Linked DNA regions of Oryctolagus cuniculus. The protein of the gene in region 7 interacts with the protein of the main gene of each other region in a pairwise test. Links are inferred from orthologs where the notes say so. Each region holds a gene or a part of one and is shown on either strand. Other genes may lie near its edges.

The links.
Region 1: the proteins of CTBP1 (region 7) and KLF12 interact in binary tests that used the Homo sapiens proteins (3 or more experiments, as listed by UniProt). The link is inferred for Oryctolagus cuniculus from reciprocal best matches to the Homo sapiens genes CTBP1 and KLF12.
Region 2: the proteins of CTBP1 (region 7) and NOL4L interact in binary tests that used the Homo sapiens proteins (3 or more experiments, as listed by UniProt). The link is inferred for Oryctolagus cuniculus from reciprocal best matches to the Homo sapiens genes CTBP1 and NOL4L.
Region 3: the proteins of CTBP1 (region 7) and PRKAA1 interact in binary tests that used the Homo sapiens proteins (3 or more experiments, as listed by UniProt). The two-hybrid records come from large-scale screens. The link is inferred for Oryctolagus cuniculus from reciprocal best matches to the Homo sapiens genes CTBP1 and PRKAA1.
Region 4: the proteins of CTBP1 (region 7) and DMRTB1 interact in a two-hybrid assay, tested with the Homo sapiens proteins (4 studies listed by BioGRID). The link is inferred for Oryctolagus cuniculus from reciprocal best matches to the Homo sapiens genes CTBP1 and DMRTB1.
Region 5: the proteins of CTBP1 (region 7) and NOL4 interact in binary tests that used the Homo sapiens proteins (3 or more experiments, as listed by UniProt). The link is inferred for Oryctolagus cuniculus from reciprocal best matches to the Homo sapiens genes CTBP1 and NOL4.
Region 6: the proteins of CTBP1 (region 7) and CRY2 interact in binary tests that used the Homo sapiens proteins (3 or more experiments, as listed by UniProt). The two-hybrid records come from large-scale screens. The link is inferred for Oryctolagus cuniculus from reciprocal best matches to the Homo sapiens genes CTBP1 and CRY2.

The regions. Positions count from the first base shown.
Region 1 is NC_091440.1:38,561,890-38,565,845, reverse strand, and holds the start of KLF12 (Krueppel-like factor 12), read right to left. Parts: upstream 2,801-3,956; 5' UTR 2,782-2,800; intron 1-2,781. UniProt on the Homo sapiens protein: Confers strong transcriptional repression to the AP-2-alpha gene. Binds to a regulatory element (A32) in the AP-2-alpha gene promoter.
Region 2 is NC_091442.1:25,330,439-25,333,938, reverse strand, and holds part of NOL4L (nucleolar protein 4-like), read right to left. Parts: intron 1,933-3,500; coding exon 1,777-1,932; intron 1-1,776.
Region 3 is NC_091445.1:66,055,818-66,060,067, forward strand, and holds the start of PRKAA1 (5'-AMP-activated protein kinase catalytic subunit alpha-1), read right to left. Parts: upstream 2,801-4,250; 5' UTR 2,746-2,800; coding exon 2,646-2,745; intron 1-2,645. UniProt on the Homo sapiens protein: Catalytic subunit of AMP-activated protein kinase (AMPK), an energy sensor protein kinase that plays a key role in regulating cellular energy metabolism.
Region 4 is NC_091438.1:119,539,930-119,544,153, forward strand, and holds the start of DMRTB1 (doublesex- and mab-3-related transcription factor B1), read right to left. Parts: upstream 2,801-4,224; 5' UTR 2,507-2,800; coding exon 1,711-2,506; intron 1-1,710.
Region 5 is NC_091441.1:43,331,502-43,335,585, reverse strand, and holds the start of NOL4 (nucleolar protein 4), read right to left. Parts: upstream 2,801-4,084; 5' UTR 2,624-2,800; coding exon 2,360-2,623; intron 1,639-2,359; exon of another isoform or gene 1,385-1,638; intron 1,291-1,384; exon of another isoform or gene 1,039-1,290; coding exon of another isoform or gene 1,027-1,038; intron 1-1,026.
Region 6 is NC_091432.1:20,094,738-20,098,237, forward strand, and holds part of CRY2 (cryptochrome-2), read right to left. Parts: intron 3,404-3,500; exon of another isoform or gene 3,361-3,403; intron 2,309-3,360; coding exon 2,168-2,308; intron 513-2,167; coding exon 201-512; intron 47-200; coding exon 1-46. UniProt on the Homo sapiens protein: Transcriptional repressor which forms a core component of the circadian clock.
Region 7 is NC_091433.1:418,961-423,091, reverse strand, and holds the start of CTBP1 (C-terminal-binding protein 1), read left to right. Parts: upstream 1-1,331; 5' UTR 1,332-1,557; intron 1,558-4,131. UniProt on the Homo sapiens protein: Corepressor targeting diverse transcription regulators such as GLIS2 or BCL6. Has dehydrogenase activity. Involved in controlling the equilibrium between tubular and stacked structures in the Golgi complex.

The DNA.
Region 1 (3,956 bases), on a different chromosome or scaffold from region 7:
CAAGATTATGTGTTTTTTTTTAACATGCATTTTTCACACAAGATGTTCAGTCAACTGTTAAAGTATACAAACCACAATGTAGTACATTCTGGATCAATCCATGAGTGTGCTTTACCTAAGGCAGAATGTGGAATCCCAGTGTAGCTCCATCCAGTTACATGGTCCGTTACGGCTCCTCTTTCCACTCCATCAATTTACATGTTTTTGAAAAATGAACATTACTTTTTAAAAACTGGGTAAGTGAGTGTCAATTAGAAAAGAAAAGCTGTGTCTTTCAACACATAAACTGCGTTTGCACTTGTAGTTCGTGTCCAGTGTTGGCAAGGCAGCAGTATCAGAGCTGGTGACTGACACCTGGAAAGACGGGCAGTGCTTCTGGGTTTCCTCACTCCACTGTAGGATTTTTGGCAGGTTGCTCAGTTGTTCTTGTTCAGTTTTCCTCCTCCTACAACTGGGCACTTTCTTCACAATGAAGTGGAGAACTAATGAGATCTTGTTTAGGAGGACTGACAAGAATTCTGTGTGACCACTTATCAGCTATCCCACCAGTGCCAAACTCAGCACCTAACTTAGCACCCAACTCACAAGTAATCAAACTTTTCGATGGAAGAATGAGAATTCCAAAGTACCTGACATATTGTGAATATCCTATAAGGATGGATTTTCCTCTTGTTTTAGCTAAAATTGCTAATTTCTTTGATACAGATAATTTACTGTTTACTATTTGTTTACTATTAAAAATATAGTTACCTACCGGTATGACAAAGCTATTTATCAAGAAAAATAACCCAAAGGAATTATTCAAAGTTTCTATAGTTTAATTCAATAAATCATTTGAACTTAGTTGATTCAATTCATAAAAAAAGATTAATATTTTACTAAATTTAGCATGCATCTTTTTTAAACTGATGTATCTGCTGAGATATGATTCAAACAAAGGAAAATTATCTCTATGATGTTAAACAGTTTTGTATTTAAAATAGACTCTGAAAAAACCCTTTCTTTCCTCTCTCTTTCCCTCCTTCTCTTCTTATCATTCATTTCTTATTTTCTCCTGCCCTCTCCTCACATTCTTTTTTTTTAAGACAAAGATGAATCTAAATATGGAAAAAATTTATTCATGAAGACTTCTTCCAGCTCTTTATTTTTACCTAGTTCACAAGTTTGTTTTCTGAACCTTTTATATAGAATTCAAATGGAATTCCATCCTCACTTCAACAACAACAACAACAAAATGGCCATGGCAAATAAAATCACTATAAAGCAAGCAACAATCTTCCTTAAAACAACCCTTAATGTCACTACCTCTTTTTAAAAAATAACATATATTAGCAATTTCCTATGTCCTACACATTATTCAAAGCATTTTACATATAATAATTCCTGTAATGGTGGCAGGAAGCACTACTATCATTTTCTCTTTCTCAAGGTGAGACTTGCTAAACTCTTACAAGTTGCAAATTCCACAAGCATCCCTAGTCCTCTCTCTCTCTCTTCCTCTCTGTCACACTTATCACCATTTAATCTACTACTGTATGTTATTTGTTACTGTTGCATATAGTGTATCCTGCCCTCTGCAGCCACCTCCCCTTGCAGGAGCTCTTGCAAGGGCAGAGGATTTTTCTATCAAGTTCAAGGCTGCAGACCATTTGTGTGGCAAATGTGCATAGCATGCACTAGGCATCCAAAAAGTATTTGTGAGTAAACAAATTCCCATTGCACAGATGAGAAAGCTGAGATATCTGGTGCTTCCATATCATTTTGTCCTCAAGGCTATAATTATAAAGCATTTGTCAACTTGCCAATCATTGTTTGGATATATAAACCATTCCATGTGCTGCTTGTTTGTGAAAGACCTTGATAACCTTCATTGGGCTATCCAATGACTGTTGGTCTCAGGAACTCATTACCACAAGATCATGATAAGAATGAAAGTTTTGGGGCCAGTGCTGTGGCACAGCGGGTTAATGCCCTGGCCTGTAGCACCGGCATCCCATATGGGCTCCAGTTCAAGACCCAGCTGCTCCACTTCCAATCCAGCTCTCTGCTATGGCCTGGGAAAGCAGTGGAAGATGGCCCAAGTCATTGGGCCCCTCCACCCATGTGGGAGACCCAGAAGAAGCTCTTGGCTCCTGGCTTCGGATCTGCACAGCTCCGGCTGTTGTGGCCAATTGGGGAGTGAACCATCAGATGGAAGACCTCTCTCTTTCTCTCTCCCTCTCTCTCTCTCTCTCTCTCTGACTGTCTCTCCTCTCTCTGTGTAACTCTGACTTTCAAATAAATAAATCTTAAAAAAAAAAGAGAAGGAAAGTTTCTTCAAAAATGAGAATGGGGGCAGCAGGTATTTGATGCAGCCATCAAGCCATCAGTTGGTACACTGACATCCATCTGGAGCACCCAGCTTCAAGTCCTGGGTCCACTCCCAATTCCCGCCTTCTGCCAATGCAAACCCTGGAGAGAGATGGCGATGACGAAAGAAACTAGGAACCTGCAACCCACATGGAAGATCTGGATTGAAATTCTGGCCCCTGGCTTTGGCCTAACCCAGCCTGTGTGGCTGTAGGCATTTGGGGAGTAAACCAGCAGGTGGGAGCTCTGTCTGTCTCTTAAGAGAAAAAAAAGAGAATAAAAGCAGGACAAGAACAATTATGTGCATTAACTATCACTACTATATGTGCATTTTTGTATATTACAAATATATTACAAATAAATTATATATACAAATATATTACAAATAAATAAGCAACGGCATCATTTTCAGATTAACGTGCGGTATCATACCTTCCTGTTTTCTTTCACATCATTCACTCTGTATATGTTGTCCACAAGGCGTTAGGCAGTCTCAGCAACTAAGCAGAGTCAGACGGTAGAATGTGCAGCTCAACTCTGTATTTTAATTCATTGAGAGAGAAAAATTAGATGGACACGTAATATTTTCATCCTCTCATTATGCCTGCAGCTTCCATGCCTAAGCTGCAAGATGATAGGCCCTATAGAAAGGGTAAATAAACAGAAGAGAGGAAAGCATTTCAGTGACTTCAGAGCTGTTGTATTAAGACTGTCTTGTTGACAATTTTAAACTCCACAAATCCTCATCAATTATTAATTATTTTTCTCATTGAATTAAACAGGTGGATGGTATTTTCTCAGGAGAAAATATCAGGTGAAATGTAAGGCTTAGTGTTGACACATACGAATGGTTCATATGAATGAAATCCTATAGCTTTACTATGCGTCCCAATCTATCTCCCACAGTACACAGAAAGTATACAATTCATTTATTACAGAAAGAGAATAAGAATTTAAAGCACACTCTTTATTCCTTTGAAGCTAGAACCAGCTCTTTTCCTGTTGCAATAAACAAAACAAAGAAACTACTTCACAGTATTTAACCATTGTCTGTGAGCTCTGACACCCCTGGGTCTCTCCTGCTGGCTCCAGAGAGGTTGCAATGAAGAACACTACAGACAAAAGTCCGGGATGAGGATGTGGCCAGGGCATCCTATCATGAGAAATGCCATGCCATCTTTCACCATCTAACTTCTCAGTGGGCTGATTCTGTCAATATATCATTTACTCACTTATCAAAATTGCTCACTTAAAAAGTTGAGTTGAATGGTTCCTTATCCAATATGCCATTACCATGCCTCTTTGTTTCATCATGAGTTATGTTCATTGTTTATATGGCTTCTTGCCTGCTAGGACTGTTAGCCACATGCATGAATTCGCTGGGCAGCCGCTGAGACAAGAAACATATGGCTGGGTCTGCCGAGAAAATCTAGACACACACCATGCATAACTCTATCTTTTTGTGTGCGTGTATATTGACTTGTGTCCATTCATGCACATCTACTTGTGGGATCTGTGTCTCTTACAATCCAGTGCTAATAAAAATATTTATATAATTTCACCCCTGCAATACTTACAAATATCTTTTTATTTAATAACGTAAGCAA
Region 2 (3,500 bases), on a different chromosome or scaffold from region 7:
AGCAGCCCAGCCCTGCCCTCCTCGGCGCACGGAGACCCCAAGCCCTAGGGCGTGCTCGTGGCTGAGGCCCCATGCTGGGCGCTAAGGGGGCCAGGGAGACCACCTGCCTGGACAACACCAAGTCGCCGGGGTGGAGCGAGGCAGAGCCTGGGGCTGTGGCCTGGCTGCGTGTGACCCTGGCAGGTTTCCCATCTCTCAGCTTACAATGGCCGTGGCAACAGTGCTGGCCTCACACACGAAACCTTGGGGCGCATGGAGCTGGTGCGTGGGCAGTGCCGAGGGCAGAGGCCGGCGTGTGCTAGGTGCCCAGATCAATGCCAAGGTTAATGCTGAGAAAACGTGCAGGGGTCTCCTCAACACCAAGGGGCCTCCATGGGCCCCAGCCTGGGTACCCCTCCCTTCTTCTCGGACCCTGGGGTGTAAAAGCCCTCACAACTCCCTCCCCACAGGTCGCTTCCTGAGGGACACATGTGGCAAAGCAGGGGGTGCGTGTGGAATCACCCCCATGCTCCCGTGGCCCAGTTCCCTGCCTCCCTGAGGCCTGGGGCACAATGGGGGGCGGGGTGCATCCTGAAGACCCGATGAGGGCCAAGGCTATCTTCCGAGAACAGGGGACAGTCAGGCCGCTGGGTTCTTAAAACATCAGGCCATGTGGGGGAAGTACAGACCACACCGACACCGCTGCCGCGGGCTGAAGCTGCTTAGACAAAGCACTCGATGGGGGGGGGGGCTCCCAGCGGCATGGAGGGGGCCCTGCGACACTGGCTGGCTGCCACCCAGCTGCTGCGTGTTCTCAGACAGGCTGCTCCTTCTCTGGGTCTCAGTTTCCCCGAGTGTGAACCAGGACCATCAACACCAAGAGCTTGGCCTGGCCGGCTGAGCGGTAGGAACCGGACCAATGGCTCAGAGCTGTGCCCGAGCCCTGGTGAGGGACTCAGACATGGGGTCAACAGGGGGACAGGATGGGAACACAGCAGGCCCTTCCTGCAGGGGACAGCGGGGGCCTCTGCTCTGGCCACAGTCCCCACAACTGCCACTTCCCACATCTGTGACATTTGCCATGCCTGAGTGGCTGTCTCTGCTCCCTCCTGCCTACCCACGCTCAGCTTCCATGCCACCTCCTCCATGGAGCCCGCGGGGCTTAGCACTGTGTCTCCGTGGCTGGAGGTGCCTTTGCAGAGCGCCTGGGCAGCCAGGCTCCTGCTCTCTCTGGAAGCTGGCCTTGGGAACACTTCTGCTTCTCCTGCATCTCGCTTTTGCTCTCAGCCTCCCCAGCCCACATCCCTCTGTGATCTCCTCGTGGGGTGTGGGGGAGGTCCCCAGACTTCCCCCCTCCCCCAGGGAACTCCTAGTGCTGACGTCACAGGGCTGAGCTAGCCGCCAGGAGCAGTTAGGACAGGCCTGGTGCTGGCAAATACCAAGCCATTTGCTGTTGATGATTGACTATGGGTCTCCTGCCTGCATTGCACCCCTCCCCCCAGGCAGGTGTAAGGGCCCCCAGGAAGAGGAGCGAGCAGAGCCGGCCCACCAGCCCCCATCTTCTCCCCTCCTCTCACGCCCTCAACCTTCTCCTCTTCTCTCTGCTCAGCCCACAGAGCCCGCCCTGGCCCAGGAGCGGCCTCCAGCTGCCCGTGTCCTTGCCCCATGCTCTGCTCTGGGATCCCTGAAGGCTGCTTCCTCAAGCCCCCACCCACCCACCCACCCGCCAAGTGCAGAGCCCGCGGCCTCCTGCCAAGGCCGGGACCACGTGCAGAGGCGGAGACGGGAGGCGCTCACCGCTCGGTAGGTTTTCTTCTGCCCGGCGTGCTTGGGGGCTTTGCCTGGCTCAGCTGAGCTCTCCACATGCATAGAGTAGATGATGTCAAAGAAATCTTCCACCACAGCGACCCGCTTCAGAGAGATGCCCTCGGGCTCCGACAGGCCATCTGCCCCCTGCGACAGGGGGACAAGCTGTGTTAGTGTCAGGGCTCACGGTGGGGTGAGCGGGGTGGGAGTGGGGGGGCCGAGGCCCCGAGGTCAGGGGGGGCAGGGATGGGCGCTGCTCCCTGACCCCCTGTCGCCTCCTCCCAGGGTGGGGGTGGGGGCGGGGTGGGGTGGGGTCCCAGAATCAGGGTGGCTGCTACGAAATGTACCAGCAACAATGGGCAGAGAACGGCGACGACACAAATACAAATTAAAGAGCCAAGAGGCTCCATGTTCACGATTTCAGACAGATTGTGCCAGACTTGGGCGGGCGGGGGCTCTCAAATCACACGCTGTGCCAAGCCCGTCCCGGACGTCTCTGGGGAGGGGAGTGCTAAGTAGATGCGGCCCCGTCACGAGCCTGCCAATTAGCAGTAACCTTTCACTGTGGGCCTGGGCCGGGGTCCCTGGGGACCGGCTCCCATCACCTGGGTGACTCCTGCCTCCGCCCCTGGCCTTTCTAGCAAGCTTTTCACCACCGCCCGCCCTCCCCACCCTGGCAGCTGAGCGCAGCGCCAGCGCCCGGGCTCTTTGTGTGGGGACATGTGCGGGATGGCAGGCCGGAGGTCACGTGGAGGTGGCCTGTGAGGTGTGCCAGGATCGAGACGGGGTCCTCTGTCGCTAACAGCTGCAGGGCTGGCACCTGCCCTCCCCCACCGGCAGAGGAGGGAGGGTGGGGCAGAGGCAGCGGGCGGGCGTGAGGCTGGGACGAGGCCGGCGTCCTCAGGAAATGAGTCAGGGATCTGATTCTCGGACCCAGGACACCTCGGCCATCACTGCCCTCAGGAGGGACCGGGAGGGCCCCAGGGGGTGTCCGAGATCAGCAGAAAGCAGTGCACCGGGGATTTGGGGAAAACGAGGCAGGCTTTTCTCTAAAAGTGCCTCCAAGACCACTCCTCCTCACGGGGACCCTCACACAAGACCGTTGGCTTCTGGGCCGAGCCTGGGCTCACAGCTGTCCCTCTGGCACTGAGAACGCCGCTCAGGAAGTGACCGCCGGCCGGCGACTGGCTACGGGTGCAGCCCCTGAGCACCGCGCTCGCGCTCGGGTGGCTGTGGGACCCAGGGCAGTTGTTTTGCTTCTCGGGGCCTCAGGATCCTCATCCATAAACTGGGAATTCCAGAAGCACCTTTCCTATCAGTGAAGCGATGATTTCTCCTGCAGCTCTTGCACCCAGCTTGGCGCGGGGACCGCCTGGCTGTTGCTATCAGGCAGAAGTGCTCTGAGGCCGGACGGCGTGGCGCGGTTGGGTTAAATGGCTGCTTGGGACACCCGCGTTCCACATCAGAGTGCCGGTTCAAGTCCCAGCTGCTCCACTTCTAATCCAGCTGCCTGTCAATGCACATCTGGCGCCCCAGCCTCCCATGTGGGTGAGCTGGGTTGAGTTCTGGGCTCCTGGCTGTTGTGGGCATTTGGGGAGTGAACCAGTGGATGGAGGATCCTCCCACCCGACTCTCTCTTGCTCTTTCAAGTAGATGACATGTAAACATATAAAAAATGTAAAAAGTGCTTTGCAGTTTGCCATGTTCCCCCAGGC
Region 3 (4,250 bases), on a different chromosome or scaffold from region 7:
CTTCATGAGAGGCACATTTGCAGGGAGAAGTTTAAGGAACAGCAGAGTCACTGAAGAGATTCACATCACAGCCACATCACAAAAGATCAACTCCAGAAAACAGAAGATGTCTATTCCTTCTCCATCTACTGTGCCAAAAGCCAATTAACAAATAGGAAAACAGACTTGACTCTGTTCAGGTCTTTTTTAGCAGAATGATGAACATCCCAATCAAAAAAGAATTTTGAGAAAGGGGTGAGGACATCAACAAAGTCTCTTTCACTATTTCAGAGACATTACTGAGCATTTCTTACAACTACTGGCAAACTAAAAACCTGTTTATAATCACTAACAAGAAACAGCACAGAAAAAAAAAAAAAACAAACTTCAAGAAAACAGAAACATGTTACTGTCCTAATGTAGACCCACCTTAATGGCTGTTACTACTCCATATTGGAGTTTGCTCCTTACTTTATTATACTACTGACCTTGTTGGTTAATGCCCATCCCCATGGGTTATACAACAATATTCCACACCTATGGCTCAGAATCGGCAACAGAGGCACGCACTTGGCTCATCAGCTAAGACGTTATTTGGGATGCCCCACATCCATGTCAAGTGCCTTGGTTTGAGTCCCAGCTGCCTTTCCAATTCCAGCTCAGGCTAATGCACACCCTGGGAAGCAGCATGTAATGGATCTAAATATCAGGTCCCTGCTATTCACATGGAAGACAAAGACTAAGTTATGGCACCTGGCTTCAGCTTGGCCCAGACATGGCTGTCGTAGCCATTCAGGGAGTGAATCATTGGATGGATGATCAAGATCTTTCACTTTCAAAAAATGAAAATAAATAAATTGGGGAGGGGGGGCCGGGAGGATGTTAACTTAGCTCTGGCAGAACAAGGCTCAGTTAATTTACTGTATACTCTTTCATAAACCTTTTCTTCCAGATCAAATATTTACCAAAAACTTAGTATATACTAGTCAAAGGCTTCTTATTTATCCAATGCCAATGCAATAATTATTCTTATCAGTTCCAAACTTCCTCCACATCCCTAATAACAAAGTCATATTTGTAAGGAAAAAGAATGTATGCCTCACAAAATTTGCAATTTAAACTTTTTATATCAGGATTGGATTAGAGAGCAAGTTTATTACTTGCAGAATATTCATGCTTTTCATAAAGGTAAGAAGTTCCAGGGCTGGCACTGTGGCACAGCGGGGTTAACACTCTGGCCTGCAGCACCAGCATCCCACATGGGTGCCGGTTTGAGACCCGGCTGCTCCACTTCCAATGCAGCTCTCTGCTGTGGCCTGGGAAAGCAGTCCAAGATGGCCCAAGTGCTTGGGCCTCTGCACCCACATGGGAGACCCAGAAGAAGCTCCTGCCTCCTGGCTTCAGATCAGCACAGCCCGGGTCGTTGCAGCCAATTGGGGAGTTAACCAGGGAATGAAAGACCTCTCTCTGTAACTCTTTGAAATAAATAAATAAATCTTTAAAAGAGAGAGATACTAAGTTCCACACTTAACAAAAAAGTTTAAACAGTGTGCACTAATCTGTTTATTAAATGTAAATATATTGTGGACAGGGTTTTGTTAAGACACTACTTAGAACACCTGCATCTCACCAGGTCTCTAGGTTTGTCTCTTGTTCCAATTCCAACTCCAGTTTCCTGTGCATGTGCACCCTGGGAGGCAGCAACTGATGGCCCAGGTATTTGGGTCCTTGCCACACAAGAGGGAAACCCTGCTTGAGTTCCCAGCTCCTGTCTTCTGCCTGGCCCGGCCCCAGCCTCAGCTATTTTGGGTATTTGCAGCGTGAACCACCAGATGGAAGACCTATGTGTCTGTCTCTGTCTTCCAAGTAAATAAAAATCAATTTCTAAACATTAAAAATAAATATCTTCCCAAAATAAAAGGAAACGAACTCTACTAATTAATAAATATTATCTAGAGGCAACATCTACAGTAGCCTACCAGGTTCAGCATGCAGATACTGCAAAACCGGTAATTCAGAAACACTGAAGGTCGGGAGTCTGCATTTGTAAGGTAAACCAAGGGTCGCACCAGCTCCCCTTAACTGCTTTACACAAGGTCAGTCATCTTTTCGGACGAAATGGATTTAAAAAAAAAATTATTCAGGCTATACTCAAAGCAACCTCAACTGGGAGAACATCTCTCATGCTCAGGAAACAGCAGGGGCCGTTATGCTTTCCCTAGCCTGCTGAAGACGGAAATACGGACAAGGCGGAGGACCGCCAGGAAAGCGATGGGCTGGCGTGGAGCCAAGAGCACAACCAGCCGGACAGGAGGCCGCCTCCCCCGCCTCCTGGCCGAGACCCCCGGGACCCCACGCTGCAGACCTAGCGCGCGGGGCAGCTCCGGACGCCGCCACCTGGGAAAGTTCGCACCTCGGCATCTCCTCCCTCGCACCGACCGCAGCGCCGTCGCCATGGCGACTGGTCCCCACCCTACTCCCACCCGCAAAGGGAGCAGCGCCCACTTCGCTCGGTAGCTTCGGGCACGGCTCCGAACAGAGCCCGGAGAGGGTCTGCCGAGCCCGGGAATCTAGGGACAGGGAGGACCGGGAGGAGGAAGAGGTGCGAAACGCGGGAGTCCCGCGGCTCCCGGGCCGGGGCCAAACCCTTCCCCTGGGGTCCTCACCCTTCACTTTGCCGAAGGTGCCGACCCCCAGCGTGTCCCCCAGGATGTAGTGGCCGATCTTCACCCGCCCGTCGTGTTTCTGCTTCTCGGCTGTCGCCATCTTCCTCCAGACACTGAGTCTGCGCACGGCGCCGCGGGAGGGGGCGGAGGGGGCGGGCAGGGCCGCGCCGGGGGCGGGCGGGCGGCGAGGGGGTGGGGACGCGGGCGAGCAGCTGCGGGGCCGAGCCGCCGCCCCGCGCGCGCCGCCCGGGCCTGGCCACCTGGAGCCGCCGCTCCCCCGGGCGGGGCGGGCTGCGGTCGCTGGCAGGGGCCCCCCAGTCCCCTTGGTCGCCCCGCATCCTTTCGGGCTCGGCACCCGCCCAGCTTCCCGGGTAGTCCAGGAGGGCGGTAGCCCCTCCGCCCTTTCTCGGGCAGTGGGCGCCACTGATAACCGCTTCTGTGCGGGGCGGGGGCGCCGTTCTCCTTGAGATTCCGGGGAGGGGCGATGGGCCCTGGGAAGCCCTCTGGGGTGGTGCAGATCGTGGCTCTTTTACTTGTGCAGCGTGAACTGAACCATGGCAGGGGGCTCCTCCCTGATTATCACCTTTCCTTCCCAGACGGGGTCCAGGTGCCACAGGGAGTGTTCATTTGCCTCTCGGACTTTCCCCTGCATCGCTCTTACTTCGCTGTGAGCCATAAGTTACCATTGGGCAGTTCAAGCAGGCTTGTCGGTGTTTTCTCCTGGATGCTTTCCTTAAGGAAGAGGGAGGCTGGGCACCTGTGGGGTTGTATGCTTATCAGGCAGAAAGCGATGCTACCCTGCCCTTTCGCTGTACAGGAATTACTATGTTTAGATTATCAGTAAAATGCACACTATCACGGGACTGACGATAACGTTTACAGTTACATCGACCATTTATTGTATGTGCAAGGAATAAAACTTTATTGTCTGTGTAGATGAAACCATACTATGTCACAGAGAAAGTAAAGTGTGCTTATTTGTAATATAATTTTTCAGTAAGTTTGTTACTGAATTCCACGGAGAATTATCACATGCCTCCAACAGTAGGCAAAGTCAAATGTGTCATCCAAAAAAGAAAGAAAAAAAGTTTATATGCTCTCGGTTTTGCCGTGTCATAGCATTTGGACCAGTGTCAATGGGTAAAAAGTTGGACTCTTCATGAAAAGAGTATAAGAAAGTATAAAACTAAGAAATGTCATCATTTTCCTTTCCAACAAAAATAAATTACCTCTAAAACTCTCCCATCTCCCACTTGCTTTCTCTCTGGCTCCCAAAATATATGTGCAGGCTGCCTCTAGATGCTGCCAGCAAGAAGGCCATCACCAAGTTTAGCCTGTTGACCTTGGGCCAGGACTGTCTCTTGCTGCTTCCCTCTGCACTTTCTTCACTTTTGAAGCTGGGGTAGAGAGTCTGTAAGCAGTGTAATTGTCACTCTCTTGGTAGAAACTAGCCCTACTGACAGTATATCAATTCATTGAGAAATTAAATAATAGTGTTATGAGCTGAAAGTTACCCAACTGTCCTGATTGTCTCCTCTTTTTGTTAAGAAACCAAAGTAGCACGTATTAAGGACTGTTTTGTTCGAAAGATCCTATTGCAAGGGA
Region 4 (4,224 bases), on a different chromosome or scaffold from region 7:
CAGCAGAGCTCTCCACCAGGATCTGACCACCGTGGTCCCTCCCACCAAGACAGGAGCCCTGCGGGCAAGCAGAGGGCTCCACCCAACACCCCCCACCCCCCTTCACATTGCTGACGTCCAGCATGGGCCAAGTGCTCAGTGCCTGATCCCTGGGAGCAAACCAAGAATGGCATCCCGTCCCTGGGAAGGTAAGCAACTAGGATGGCTGTGGAGGTCTGTTTTTCCATCGGACAGCTAGTTCCCTGGGGACCTGGATTTCCTTGGAAAGTCCCAGAAGGCAGAAGTGACTGCAGAGAGCAAACCAATTCCCTTAGCGTGAAGACAGGGAAACCTGTGCAAGACTACAGGGCAGGCAGATCTCAGCTCTGTGCCCTTTCTACCACACTGACACAGAGAAAATACCTAGAAAATGAGTGCGCTCCAAGAGCTGGGTTTTTAAAAGCCTTGAGTCTACAAGTGAGGGTGCTGCAGTGGGTAAAGGTCCCACTCAGGAAGCCCACATCCCAGACTGGTGTCCATGGGCTTCCTGCTAACGCACTTGGGAGGCAGCAAGTGATGACTCAAGAACCAGGCTTCCCGCCACCCACACAGGAGACCAGAATCCAGTTCTGGGCTCCTGGCTTTGGCAGCTAGTATTTGGGCAGTGAACCAACAGGTGGAAGACTCCTCTCTGCCTTTTAAATAAACAAATATTTAAAAAAAGTAAAGTCTACATGTCTCTGCCTTTCCCTCTCTGTAACTCTGCCTTTCAAATAACCGTTTTTTAAAAAAATATGTTTAAAAAGTCCACAGGCGACTTGAAACTGTATACCAAAAGCAGCAAGATACAGAGAACAATGTAGTTCACGCACAAAGCTGAGAAAAACATCTCGTTCCCTGTTGGAGACCAAGCCAGTGCATGGGCAACCACTCTCACGCAAAGGGTGGGAAGAGGCGCACAGGTGCACTGGGCCAGAGCACAGCTCAGGGGAGGAGCGTGCAGACCGAGTAAAGGGAGAGACATGTGCGCAGGCCCGGTATGGCCGGAAAGTTCTAGAGAACGAGCCTTTAGCCAGACAAAATGGCCGAAAGCGGTGCGCATGCGCAGATAGATTGAACAAGGGTGGGGTTGGGGGGAGAGTACTCTGGGCGGGGCCTCTAGTTCCCCCCCACCACCCGCCAGGGAAGGAAGGGTGCGCAGGCACTCATGGGTTGAACCGAGTTGGGGTTCGGGGAGCGTACTCTGGGCTGGGCCTCTAGTCTCCCGGCCAGGGAAGGAAGGGTGCGCAGGCGCAGTGATAGCTGAGCCACGCCCACCTGCCAGAAAGTCTTGAAGGAAGAGGACGCCCGTGTGAGACAGGAGCCGGAAGAGCAGCGCAGGCGCAGTAGGGCTGGTCTCTCCCTGGAGTCCCCAGGGGGAGCCACCGCTAAACGCCCCGGGAGCCATCTTTTTTAAGGCCAAAACTACTCCCTAAATATTAAAAGTCCTTTCGATCTCCCTTTCTCTTTTGCTTTTTCTAAGAAAACACCCATCCCAAATCCTCGTTCAGAGAAGGGTTGCTCAGAGCCAAGCATCTTCCCCACCTCGAGCCCCCAGGCCCCGCCAGCCCCTACCCCAGCGGCCTGTTCTGTGGGTTCGGGTCTCGGGCCACGAGCTCGGGGAGCAGGGAGCCCGCAGCCGGGAGAGGAGCGGACGCGGCGCCAAGGCAGGGCGAGGTGCGGGAATCTTACCGAAATCCGCGAACGGCGGGCTGGGCGGGGGCCGCAGCGGCCTGCACAGCTCCAGGTGGCCAGGGCCGCCCAGGCCTGCTGCCTCCAGCCCGAGCTGGGCCGCCACGTGGCCGCGGCCGCCCAGGACAGGCTGGAAGGCGCTCGGGCCCGGGCTGGGGCCCCGCGGCGGCCTCTCGCAAAAGTAGGCAGCCGCGCGGCCCTCGGGCTCCGGCCGGAGATCTCCCGAAGCCGCCGGCGGAGGCAGCAGGTGGAGGCCTGGGCCCTGGCTGGCGGCCGCGGCCCCAGCCACCGCCCCGGCGGCCAGCTCAGGCGCCTGAGGGCCCAGGGCCAGCTCCTGCTCCTCCTCCGAGGCCTGCTTCCTGAGCACCTTCTGCGCGGCCATGATCTTCTGGCGCTCGGTGATCAGGCAGCACTTGTCGCAGGTGCACTGCTTCCAGCCGCACTTTCCCGCGTGGCCCTTGACGGGCACCAGGAAGCCGTGGTTGCGGCACCTGGAGCACTTGGGGGCGCGCAGCATCTTGTCGGCCAGTTTAGCAGCGTCTGCCTTCATCGTGCAACCGCCACCTCGGGGAGCCGCGGAGCAAGTGGCGCAGCAGTGAACTGCGCCCCACAAGTCCCTGGTGCTGGGGACAGTGGATACACTTGTAGCAAACCGGCACGTAGTGCGTCCCGAGAAACGCCCAAAAACTGCCGCCAGACCCTTGCATTCTCTCGCCCTTTTTTTTTTCGGTGCAGTGCAAACGTTGGGATTTCTGTGCCTTTGGTAAGTAGGTGCAAGGGATTGGGTTAAATACATTCTTCATGGAGTGCTATTGCATGCATGTCATCTGGAATATCCGTAGTCTCAGGCATTTAATTTTTCAAACTCGATATTCCCGCCATCCCAAGACGGGAGGTACTTCGTGATTAAAAAAAAAAGGCGGAGTGATACCCAGCGGCCCACAGATTTAAAACTTTAGAAAATCGCCTCTTAGTAAACCCGTGACAGTATAAAAGCACTTTAAGAGGCAGAACGCCTTTCTCCTTCCCGAGGCTGCTGCTTCTGCGGAAGCTCATGTCTCCTCCTTGTAGAGAAACAGCCGTTCACGGGGAGGCTTCTAGAATATTCTCGGGCACTCTGTGCCGCGTGGGGGTTGCTGAAGGGTGTGTCCTTCCAGTCATTCCGGCTGGGGAAGAGTGTTGGGATAGGAATCCGTTTCTGGAAATGGTGCTTTTCTGTTGCTGATGCCTTCGGGAGGCAAACATGCTTAGAATGTTTTCAAGTAAAATAAACCAAGGGTATTTTGGCACTGGCTTGAAGCATTGCTTAACTCTTTGGTTGTCGCTCTGAAACAATCCAGGTCTTGGGAAAAGTCGGCACAGGCTTCATAGTTTACCCAGGGGCACTAAATCAATACGTATTCTTGATTTCTCTCTCTTTTTTAATAGAAATTGGTGAATCCCTGAGGTCCTTTTATTTGGGCAAAGAAAAAAAAAAAAAAAGAGGTGTGGGATGGGCCGCTAACCGCTGACAGGCTTCTAATCGTAGGCTGACCCTACTGAAGGAGGCAGTGAAGGTTAGCCGCTGGCTGAAGTGTGTGTCCGCTACTGCCCTCTCTCTGTTCAGGATGCTCTTCCTGGCTAGCATGGCAGGTGCGGCCTAGCTGTGCACCCTGCCGTCTCACCAGCTGCCTGGGGATAGGAAACCATTGCCTTTCTGAGACCCGTGAGAGGGTAGAAAGCTGAGAGGAGGTTTGTAGTCTTTTTCTGCTTAAAAGAATATTCTTCATCTTAATAACAGGGCAAAAGTAGATGTCACCTGTATTCTTTAGGAATGCTGCCGTTAGCTTTGCATTCATTTAAAGAGGGCTACCTTTGTCTCTGCTTCACTCTTAACACTATATATTTTTTAAAATTATTTATATTCATCCGAGAGGCAGACTGACAGACGGAGGTCCCATCTACTGGTTCACTCCCATTTAAATGTCCATAACAGGGCAGGCGCTGTGGTACAGCAGGTTGGGCTATGGCTATAGCTGCAGCACCAGCATCCCATGTGGGCTCTGGTTCAAGTCCAGGCTGTTTCACTTCCAGTCCAGCTCCCTGCTAGTATACCTGGGAGGGCCCAAGTCTTTGGGCTCCTGCACCACGTGCAGGACCTGGAGGAAGCTCCTGGCTCCTGGCTTCCACCTGGCTCACCCCTGGTCATCGCAGCCATTTAGGGAGTGAACCAGCAGATGGAAGATTCTCTCTCTCTCTCTCTCTCTCTCTCTCTGTAAGTCTACATTTCAAATAAATATATACATCTTAAAAAAAATAGCGGTGCTGAGCCAGGCCACAGCCAGGAACCAGGAACTCTTTCTGGGTCTCCCACATGAGTGGCAGGAATCCAGATACTCAAGCGATCACCTGCTGCCTCCCAGGGTGTACGTTAGGTGGAAGCTGGAATCAGGAGCAGGACTGGGACTCGAACCCAAATACTTCCATGGGGGATGCAGACATCTTAACAACTAGATCAAAGGCCCACCCCTACAT
Region 5 (4,084 bases), on a different chromosome or scaffold from region 7:
ATCTTTTATTTATTTTTCAACTCATTGAAATGATGATTGGCTGTCTCTCAGAGGAGGAGGAGCCTGAAACACTGTCAGGAGCAGTAGAAAAATTCCATAAAGAGCAATGGAAGAGTTCATGAATTAAAAACCTCTTTAACAGCTCAACACTGGCTTGAAAGAAGAGCAGAGCTCTTAAATACTACACGGAAACTATTATCTAAGATTATCACCTGATGAATTATTCTTTCTCCCATAAATATAGGGACTCTACTGAACAGAGAAAGACATTTTACTTTCTCTTCACCCTTGGAGTTGTCTCTGCATAGGATGCCTTGTCAGTAATTCTTTAACTCTGCACTAAATTTTAAATGAAAATATGGGTATCACAGCACGAGAATGCTGTTTTAAATAATTGGAACCCAGGATTATTTTAGTGCTTTTAAAAAGCACAGAATTTATATCATATACAATTTTAAAAATTAATCTTTTATACAGACATATGTGTGAATATAGGAGTAGTCAAAACTATACAAGTATAAGCTTATTGCACCAAGACATATGTGTGAAGCTATCTGACAGTTACACCAAGGAACCTAAGTTTAACATAAAAGAAATGAAAAACAAACTTCCTAGATATGTTTATTTTTGACATATAAGAGATTAGTTTTAAAAGTTGTAAACATATCTTAAATTATTTTATTCACTCCGTTAGCTAGGTCTGCCCAAAGAAAAATACATTCTTCTTTTGAATTCTGATTTATTCTAACAATGAATTATTTTTCTACATAACTGCCAATACAAATGAATCAAAAACACTCCATTCTCTATAACAGACTCTGGCTCATCCAGATGTAAATAAGCCTCAGTTCTAATTCATGCCAGGCTAGTCCTCATTATTTAGTAAAGCAAGACAGTAATCTCAGCATTGTCTTTAACAGTGCCATATGCTCTGAGAGACAGTATATCTACAGATCTACCTCCAAGAAACCTTCCAACAGTAGAACATTAAAACAGCGACAGAACTTTCAAGTGTTTCCATTTTACCTTTATTTCCATGTTCCATTTTTCATACGAATTTCCAAAGAAATACACAAGCTCCAAACAATATTCTTAATTAATCTCAGGAAGCCACCAGCTGCTTTCCAAACCTCAAAGAGTCCTCCAAATACCGCTCTGAACAACCCATTTCTAAATGAATGTGCACCCCCGCCAGACACAGCCTGGCGTCCAAGCCCTCTCCTTCCTAGCATCCTCCAGGAATCCTGCACGAGGAAACAGTTGCCAGTGAGGGAGGGGCGGGGTGGGGGTAAGGAGCAAATGCTCAGGAAACCACAGCACCGCGAGGCAAAAATACAAAGGATGCCAGAAGCCTCCCCCACCCCTACTCCAAGCGAGCACCCACCGTGGCACGATGCAGAAAGGTCTTAGGCGGCTCATCTGCAAATCCACGCTGCCGCGGCTCCCCAGCCCCACAGGCATCTGCGTGTGAGGTTGAGCCAGACTCAGCTCCCAGGGCCAGTCACCTCCAGTGGCGCCCAGGCTGGAGCTTTGTGGCCATGAGACTGGAGCCACCCCAGAAAGAGGGACACACACACACGCGCGCACACACACACACACCCCATCTGATCGCGCTCAAACCCATCTCTCTTTGTTGCTCATCATCTAGCTGCGGCTTTATTTGTGGAACCGCGAAGTGAGGAAAGGAATGGGGGGGGGGGGAGTGCTGTGGAGGGAGGGAGGCGGGGAGGACGCATCCCCAGGACCTCATCTGCAATCTAAACAGTCGTGACCGCGATCTCCGGGACCCTCCGAGGAGCTCGCGCTGCCCCGCGTCTCACGCGCGGCGGCTAACAATAAACCCCGACAGCGTGCGGGGGAAACCCCTCGTCCGCCGCGACCGCCACCCGCGGGCTTTGTGCCAATAAGGAGACACTGTCGCCTATCGATCAGCATCGTCTGTTATCAGAGCGTGAGGCTAGGGTTCCAGCCTGGCCTTTTATGCGCGCGGTGGCGGCGGTGGCACACGCGCCAGGCGTCCAGCGAAGGACGTGGGACAATGGCCCAGCCCGAAGACGCTGGACGCTTGCCGGACGCCGCCCGGCCGGGGCTAGGAGGCTCGGCGGCTGGTCCCCGAGCCGGGGAGGCGGGGAGGGCGGAGGGGCTGCGGAGGTGCGCGCTGCCGCTTTAAAATAAAGGACCACAAAGACGCCACGGCGGGGGGAAACCGCGCCTGGCTGCTGCGAGCGGGGACGACTTGAGGAGGGGGTTGGGGAGGGTGGGGGCACAAGAGCCAACGGTGGCTCTCGGCTCCCCCCTCTCCTCCCGCCCCGCCGGGCTGCTCGGGCAGACAAATAACAGAGGCAGGCGAGTCACTCACCGTGGTCTTGACCGGCACGTAGAGCACCTGCTTGGCTCCGCCGCCTCCCGCGCGGACCTCGTCCGGCTGGCCCAGCTGGAAGCCCTTCGATTTGACCCAGAATTTAAATTTGGCGTTGTCCGTGGAGCTCGACTCGGAGCCGTTGAGGAGCTGGACGATCCGCTCGTATTTCTTACGGGTCACCGTCTTGGTCTTGCCTGAGTCCCCGTAAGTCCTGAGGCACCAGTCCTGGAACTGGCGGTACATGTCGCGCTCGCTCTCCATGTTCCCCGCGCTCGGCCGCCGCCGGCCGGATGCTCCCAGCGCACTTCGCACCTGTTCACCCCGGGCTCATGAAAGATGCAGCCCTGGCCACGATGCGGGGACGCGAGGTCCCGGCCGCCGCGGGAGCCTGCCTCGGGTTGGGGGTGGGGGGGTGGGGTAGGGGGGAGGAACGGGCAGCGGGGAGGAGGGTCCAGTTGGGCACCGGCAATCAATGCCCTGTGCTAGCCAGTCTGGCTCATTCGTAAGAGCAGCGGAGGGCTCGGACGCTTTTCCCGTCCTCTCGGTGATGGGGCTCTTTAATATTGTGTGTCCAGGACCATCCCAACAGCATTTGGCCCAGAGGAGCTGGGCTCTGAATAATTAAAATCCTATTCCTGGGTTTATTAAAAATCTCAATATTGACCCGGGGCGCTCCCTCGACGCCTCACCCCGGGCTGCGTCCCGGGCAGGGCAGGTGGGAGCGCAGCGCCGCCTCCCCGCGCGCGCCCGGGAAGCTTCCTCGGCCGCCGGTCTGGGAGCGAGGGCTGCGCCGCTCCCGAAAGCAGCCGCCGGGCGGAGCGCCTGCAAGCCCCGCAGGGCACACGCGTCCCTGGGCTCTCCTTGCTCCGCTTCGGCCTTCCGGGTGACCGGCAGGGAAGGAACTAGAAAAACAGAAAGTTCTTACCTGTCATGTCTTTAAGCCTATCAAAATTCCGTTTTACGGGATTTTTTTTTTAAGACGAGGGGGTGGAGGGAAAGCAAGATAATTTTAAAAACGCGTTAAAATAGCACGTCTTCAGGTGCACTGGGGCTAAATTGCAGCCCCGCATCTAGGTTCTAGGAGTTAGGTCCCAGCAAGGAGCGGCGCCTTCATAGAGGGCTCGGCCGGTAGTTCCCAGGGTCGGCGCCGGTGCCCCAAACAGATACGGGTTCCGGGAGGGCGTGGGTACGAAGGCAGGCCGCCGGCCGCGGGTCTCCGGGATGGCGACCCGGCCCCGGCCAGCACTCCTCAGGCTTCTGCGGCACCGGGGTGCCCGGCATAGAAGTAAGTTTATAACAGAGATGCTTGGAACCCTGGGCAGGAAATGAGAATACACAGAAGCGTCGTTTCCCCCGCTGCTTGGTCACAGTTTGCAGTTCACCCGGGAGGTTTCGGTTGTCGCTTTTCCCCTCCCGCCACGTCACGGACACCCCCTCCGCCGCGCAGGGACGCCAGATACGAGTTCCTCAGGACGATTTTCCCAGGCAAAGGAAGTCAGCGGTTCCTCCATTCAGGATTTCCATCCGCGTGCCACGGTGCTGGAAATAGGAGTTCCCATCCTCCTCGCGCAGCGCCGGCGGCCGCTCCTCTTTATTCTACTCTGGGCCGAGGCCCGCGCGCGTCCCAGGAAGCCGCTGCGCCAGGAAGGCGGCCCGAGCGGTGCCCGGCGCCGGCTCAGGGTCCCAGGCCACCTTCGCCACTCGTCGTCGCCTGCCGGACGA
Region 6 (3,500 bases), on a different chromosome or scaffold from region 7:
CCGCGTTCACGCTGAAGTCGGCGTCCAGAAGCAGCTCGTCGAACACCTGGGCGGGGGCGGGGACGAGCAGACTCCTCGGGGATCCGCGGCCACGGTTCTCCCCCAGGGGCCCAGGGCCAGCCACGGAAGGCTCCCACGCCATCCCCCCGCCCGGAGAGGGCAGCCCACAGCTGGGCTCGGCAGAGGGAGCGGGCACTCACCCGGACCCCGCTCTCCCAGCTGACCCACAGGTCGCCGCGCGTGAGGAAGCAGGCCACGGCGTGCCGCGCCAGGTGGTGGATCCAGCCCTCCTGCCTGAGCTGGGTCATGATGGCGTCGATCCAGGGGAAGCCCGTCTTGCCCTCAGCCCACTTGGCCAGGGCCTCGGGGTTGCGGTCCCAGGGGATCTGGATGCAGATGGGGTTCCCCTCCATGCGGTCGAACCTGGGGTTGTTGGTGGCTGCCGTGTAGAAGAACTCACGCCACAGGAGTTGCCCAAACAGGGACAGGGGAGGGGTGCTGTTCCGCTTCACCTGAGGGCGGGGGCGGCACGGACACGTGAACGCTTGCCCGGCTCGCTGCGCCAGGCCGCTCAGGTCCCTACAGACTCCAAACCTCCTAGACAGGCGGAGGGCCTGTCCTCTGGAAGAAACGGCGCAGCGCACCTGCAGACTCAGCCCCGGCCCTGGCAGGCAGCAGCAGATGGCCTGAGTGCTTGGGCCCCTGCCATCCACACGGGAGACTTGGACGAGCTCCTGGCTCCCGGCTCCCGGCTCTGGCCTGCTGCAGCCATTTAGGGAGTGAACCAGTGGATGGCAGATCTCCGTGTCTCCCTCTCTCTCTCTCGCTCTGCCTTTCAAATAAAATCATTTTAAAAAAGAAAAAAACTTTTAAAAAAGATGTGTAGGGAATGTAAGGGGAATCATTACAGGGAGAAGTTAGTAAGTCTAAAAAATGATATTTAAAAAAAAAAAAACAAAAAAACCAGAGTGGTTGCAGAAAGCCAGGCAGGGTGGGCAGGAATCAAGCCTGCCAAGACTGGCCACGGTGGTTGGCTGCACTTTCTAGATAGTCAAGGGGAGTTCTCTGATCAGAGTGCATAAAATGCTCGGTCCAGACATGGGGTAAACAGGCTGCACACGCAGGCTGGGTCCATGGAGGAGTTAAGAGACCAGCCTCCAGGAGTTCCAGGAACGAGAGGTGCAGCAGGTAAGATGCCACTTGCGATGGCTGCCTTCCATATTAGTGCCAGGGTTCAAGTCCCAGCTCCACTCCCAACCGCGGCTTCTCGCTAACGCACGCCCCAGTGGGTGGCAGGTGGCGGCTCCAGGGGTTGGGTCCCTGCCCCCCAACCTGGGAGACCTGGACTGAGTTCCTGGCTCTGGGCTCTGGCCCGGCCCGGCCTCAGCCGTTGTGGTCTTCTGGGGAGTGAACCAGGGGATGGGGGCTCTGTGTCTGCCTGTGACTCTCAAATCTATCAATCGATAATAAAATAATAATTTGTTTACAAAAGGGATCAGATCTCTAAGCAAATAATGATTTTCCTAAAACCGTAAGATTACCCCCCCCCCCCAGTTGCCAAGCTACCAGTGGCCTGAATTCATGACCTTGGCAAGGACAGGGAAACGTCAGAAACGCAGCCCCAAGGAAGAGCCGCTGACTGGGGACTGGATACCTGTCCCTTCTCCTTCCAGGGATGCCTGTGGGCTGCTGGTCCCCATGGCCGGGCCCCCATGAACTCTCTCCCCCTGCCTCGAGCCTTTCTCCCAGCGCTCATGGGCAGGTGCAGCCCCTGGACAGTCCCTTCAGTGCTCTGGGGGCAGCCCCAGAGGGCAGCTGTGCTCAGTGCAGGACTGGCTCCAGCCTCACCTGCCCATCGTCCCGCGCTGGGGCTCTGGTGCACATCCACCCCCAGCCAGTGGACCTGCTACCTCTGGGCCCCCCGCGGCCTCCTCTGCCCCACAGGACCACAGGGGATGGATGCAGATCAGTGATTCACTGGGCGCGTGGCTCTGCCAGCCCTTGCGCACTGACCCTTCCCCACCCACTCTGGACTATGGGATGTATGACACAGGCCCCCACCTCCAGGGACAGGATGGGGACCTTTTCCAGGGTGACTGGCAAACGCAGGAGGCCCAGGGCCACTTGGCTGCAAGCGGGGAAGGCACACAGGCCGCACTGCTCTCACCTTCTTATACAGGTCCCACAGGCGGTAGTAGAAGAGGCGGCAGGACAGGCAACCGAAGCGCAGGTAGGGGCTGAGGCCGGTGGGGCTGGCCAGCAGGGAGTTGGCGTTCATCCGGGGTCTCTCATAGTTGGCAACCCACGCCTGTGGAAGGGGAAGGTGACAAAGCAAAGAGCTGGGTGCTACGGAGGAACGGAGAGCCACGGGGCCAGGGCTTGCACGCCGTGCTCACGCCACTCCTCGGAAGCTGTGGATCTGCGTTCTGGCCCTGACTTCGCCAGTGAAGCTGCGGATGAGTGTAAACTTTGTCCCTCAGCTGTTTCTCTATTAAATAACAGCATTTCCCCTCCCCTGAGATGAAGCGAAATGAGACAGCCAAGAACTGGAAAAAGACTGAGTGGACTCCAACCATCAGAGGAAAGGAAAGGCTTCTCCTCTACAGAAACAAGGCCCGTCTCTGGTCACCAGGGCCTCCTGAGACTGCCCTGCCCCACGCCGCCCGAGGCCGCGGCTGCCGTCACGCACTCTCCGTCAGATCTGCACGGCCCCGCGAGGGAGCCTTGTCGTTGCCTCCTTTGGAAAACGAGCACCGAGGCTCAAAGGTTCTGCGACTCACCTGGGGGCCGGGGAGGGCGGGCTTCCGAGTCCTGACCAGGCTCTCCCTGCTACCTGTGCAAGTGTCCTCCTGCGCAACCCCTACGCCCATCCTTCGGTTCCTGGCACCCGGTGACAGACTGCTTGCCCCGCCCAGGCCTCCACTGCACACTTCCCAGCTCCACCCCTCAGCAGACGAGAAGGCAACACGAGCCACCAGGTAGCCACCTGCAGTCACTGAACCCCCACCTGCATCCACGCCCACCCTTCTCCTCCCCTCCCATGACCTGGCTCGGAGTCCTCCCCTCTCTCCCCTTGTCTGTTCAACCTCCCTCTCTCCTCTCTCTCTCTCTCCAGTTTCCACTCCAAGAACACTCTTCTCGCTCAAATATACAAAGCAAAGGACACAGCAGTGCGGCTGGGCCTCCCCACCTGGGCCCACTGTGCTCCTTCAAAACCCACCTCTCTCTACTTCCCTCACCCCCGCCTCCACGTTCCAGCCCACCTGCTGGCTCCTGGCTTCTCCACTCGGCCACGCTGTCCCTCCCATCTTCCACGCCACGTACCCCACACGCATCCTGTTCTCCCAGCAGCACAGCACCATGGCCGGCTCCTGTCTCTCCTCCGGGGATTCCCTGGGCCTTGGTGACCTCACAGCTCATGGGCTGCTCTTAGTCTTCCCTGAGCCCCTCCCCCTCCATCTCTCTCTTCAGTGCCGGCAGCCCAGGGCTCTGTCGTGGGC
Region 7 (4,131 bases):
CCCCCCATGGTCACTGCCCAGGCCCCCCCCCCCCGCACCCACTTCCCAGCCCCCCATGGTCACTACCCGGCCCCCCGTGGTTACTGCCCAGGCCCCCCCCCCCGCACCCACTTCCCAGCCCCCCATGGTCACTACCCGGCCCCCCGTGGTTACTGCCCAGGCCCCCCCCCGCACCCACTTCCCAGCCCCCCATGGTCACTACCCGGCCCCCCGTGGTCACTGCCCAGCCCCCCCGCACCCACTTCCCACCCCCCCATGGTCACTGCCCCTGCCCCACGCCCAGCCGGGGCTCTCGCCAGCCCCGGGAGCAGACAGCAGGGCCCAGCGGCCTCTACCTGGGCACCAGCCGTCGGGCCGGGCTGAGCTGTGCTGTGGAAAGTTCCATCAGGACGCAGCCGGGGGGTGTGTGAGTGCCTGGCTGCCGAGACCCCAGACCCCAGACCCCGGAGCCCGGAGCCTGCAGCCGGGAGCCCCCCAGGCCGAGGGGGCTGCACGCGCGCTCCTCTGCCTCCTTGGGCCCGCCTGGTGGAAGGCCAGGGGTCCCTGCTGCCGGCCTGGGCTCTGGCCACTCTGGTGGGGTCCCTCCCCGGCCCCCGACTCCACTGCCCACTCTTCCGGAAAGCGGCCAGCCCCAGGGGCAAGGCCTCCCCCGCGGGAGTGCGGGAGTCCAGGGCTGAGGGTTCGCGCGGGAATTAGTTCGTTTGTATTCACATCCGCCGCGCTGCGGTGCTTTCTCTGAACGGGGGAATCTTCCTTGGCTGGGCCACTCCCCAGCGGGCGACCCGGACCCAAGCCCTGAGTCCCGCCTGCCGGGCGCCCGCCTAACGGCTCTGCGGGGCTGTCCGAGGACGGGGTGGGCCCGAGCTCCAAGCTGCCCGCTGGGCCTCCCGGCCCGGTTCTCCCCGGGGTCCGGGGTCCGGGCGGCGGGCGCGGGCGGAGACGCCCACCCTGCGGGGCTCCTGGCGCGGCTCTCACACAGGGCCCGGGTGAGACGGCGTCCGAAAAAGAGCCGGACAGCACCGCGCGCGAAGGGCCCTGGGGCGTGCGGGACCGGACTGAGCCAGGCGCGGGGGAGGCCTCGGCCGGGCGGGCGCACACCTGGCCCGCCGCACCTGCCCGCCTGCTCCCCCGCACGGGGCTCGGAGCGCGGGGCCGCGCCGGCCGCTTCCCGGAGCGCCCCCGGCAGGCGCCGCACCTGCACCTGCAGCGCCCGCGCCGCGGGGCCCGACCCCGCGGAGGACGGCGGGCGGGGCCGCGCCGAGAGCCCGAGCCGCCCGCCCGCGCCGCGCGCTGCGCCGGCAACCAGCAGACCAACCGCGCAGGCCCCGCCCGCGCGCGCCGCCGCGTGTCCCCGCCCGCTCGGTCGGTCGGAGCGCGGCTCGCGGCGCGGCTCGCACGGCGGCGGCGGCGCAGGCGGCGGGCGGAGCAGCGGACGGCGCCGAGGCCGCCCCACGCGCCGGGCTCGCGGCGGCGGAGCGCGCGGGACTCGCGGGGCCCGCGGCCGCCCGCGCTTTTCAATGGGCAGCTCGCACTTGCTCAACAAGGGCCTCCCTCTCGGTAAGGCCGCGCGCGCTTCCGGCCGGGGCGGGGGCGGCGACGCGCGCGCGGGGCGGGCCGGGCGCGCGCCCGTGGGCGCCGGCTTTGTGTGCGAGTGCGCGTGCGCGCCGGCGGGCGGGGGGCGGGGGCCGCGCGCATGCGCGGGCTGCTGCGAGCGAGTGCGCGTGCGCGTGCGCCGCGCGGCCTGGCCCGCGCAGGTGACACAAAGGGGCCCGCGGGCCTCGGGGCGGCCCCGCAGCCCTGGCCGCCCCCGCCCCGGGCTCCTGGGCGTGGCGCTGCGGCCCCGGCCCCGCGAGCGCCCAGCGGGCTGCCCTGGGGCCCGAGGCCCGAGGCCCGGAAGTGAGCACGCAGGTCGTTCCCCGGGGCGGCGGGGAGCCCGAGGCCTCGCGGCGCCACCTTTGTGTCCGGCCCGGCGGGCGGGCTGCGGCCGGGGTCGCGGGGCCCGCTTCTGGCCCTCGTGATGAGCAACCCCGGTTAGGGCAAAAGGGGGCTCCCGGGGGGCCAGGCCCGGCCACAGTGGCCGCGTCCCGCCGCCGACCCGGCCTTTCCGGCCCCGAGGCCCCCACTCTGGGTCTGCGCGCGGACAGCGGAGGGCTCGAGTCCCCCGGGCTGCTGGCCCCCGGCCGGGGCTCCGGTTCCCGCGCTCTTCCCTGCCCTGCCCTGCACTTGGCCTGTGTGCCCAGTCCGGGACTGCGGGGTGGGGGCGGGTGGGGCGCTGCGCCTGCCTCTGCGGCCCTGCACACCGGCGGCTGCCCCCAGCCTGGGCTGGCTCTGCCGGGCCGGGGAGGGGACGGTGCTTGGTCTCCCCAGCGTCTCCTGACCCCACAAGCGCGCTCAGCAGGTGCCGGCCGGGCCTCTCTTCCCAGTGTTCTGTGTCCTGCCTCGGGGCACCCGGGACTGGGACTGTCCCATGGGCTCAGCCCCGGTTCTGGCCACATCCCGGGCAGTAGGGGCACCGCTGGCCCTGTCGGCCTCTGAGGCCGCACGGTGGACCTTGGTAGCCCGGGGTTTGGCCGTCTGGGCAGCGTCTTGGTGCCTGGTCAGCATGTCGTGGCTGGCGTCAGGGTCCTGTGCCGAGGGTTTGTCGCCTGCCCTTGGGTCTCTGGCCAGGAGCCTGCAGGTGGTGCCTGCCCCAAAACCCCTGTCCCCTTGGTCTGAGTGCCCGCGGCTCCGGCCTTCTTGTGCAGCCAGGCCTGGGGGTCTCAGCCCCCTCCGTGTGGGCTGCCAGGAAGCAGGGTGTCCACGGTGGGGAGGGTGAGGGCTCCCGCGGCGGGCACCCCACGGTGCAGGCTTCCTGCAAACCAGACCCCCTTGGCTGCTGGGCTGGGCTGGGGCGGCCAGAGCCCCGTGCACGTGCCTGGTGTGGGTGCTGGGCGGGGTGGGGGCCACCTGGCTGCTCCCTTGCCGGCTGTGGTATGGATGCCACAGGGGCCCCACTGTTCTCAGAGCCAGGTTTCCTGTGGGGTCCACTCGTCCCCCAGGAGGGCAAGCAGGGGCTGCCCTAGGCCCTCCACCCCAGAGTGGAGCCTGTGCGGCCTTCAGGACACGCGTGTGGTGAGCGGGCCCATAGCTCCCTGGGGGGTGGACCATGGTGGCAGATCTGCACCTCCCGTGGGACCCTCTGCCTGGGGTGGGTCCCCCTGGCCCCTCGTGCCTGCTGCCCACGGGCTCAGTTCCCACCCGGCAGCGGGTGGCTGCATGTCCCCTGCCAACACTGTGTGCAGGCCTGGTGGACGCTGGGGTGGCCGTCGCAGGCTCTTCCGTGTGTTGAGCGGGAGCCAGGCCCCAGAGAGCCGTGAGGGGCAGCAGGGGGTGCCCTTGTGGGGCAGGAGTGGGGCTGGCCGCACTGGGCTTTGTGTTCAGGGTGTGGGGGTTGTCTTTTTTTTGAGATTTATTTATCTGAAAGGCGGAGTTACAGAAGAGAGAGGTTGAGGGAGGCAGAGAGAGAGAGGTCTTCCATCTGCTGGTTCACTCCCCAGTTGGCCGCAATGGCCGGAGCTGCATGGATCTGGAGCCAGGAGCTTCCTCCGGGTCTCCCACATGAGCGCAGGGGCCCAAGCACTTGGGCATCTTCCACTGCTTTCCCAGGCCACAGCAGGGAGCTGGATGGGAAGTGGAGCAGCCGGGACTTGAACCGGCGTCCATATGGGATGCCGGCACTGCAGGCAGCAGCCTCACCTGGCGTGGGGGTTCTTAATCGGGCTGCGGTGAACCCCAGTTGCTGTGAGGCGGGGAGGGTGTGGTGGGCGTCAGGTCTGAGATGTCTCGGAGCTCACAGGCAGGGATGCGGCAGGGGTCACTGGTGGCTGACCTGCGCCAGCGTGGTGCCGGCCGGGACCCCGTGTCCCTGTGCCTGTGGGACCCCTGAGCTGCCCTGGCGCTGTCCATCCGGGGCAGTTTGACCACTGAATCCGTGTTGCTGCTGCTGCGGGGACCAGGCTGTGCGGGCGGGAGTGGACTCGTCCCCCCGGGCCAGCTTGGCCTAAAGTCCCTGCGAGTACGAGCTCCCCCCGCAGCCCCGCCGTCCCCGCAGCGCCGACTGCCTCGGGAGTGGCATGGCACGGCCCGAGGCCA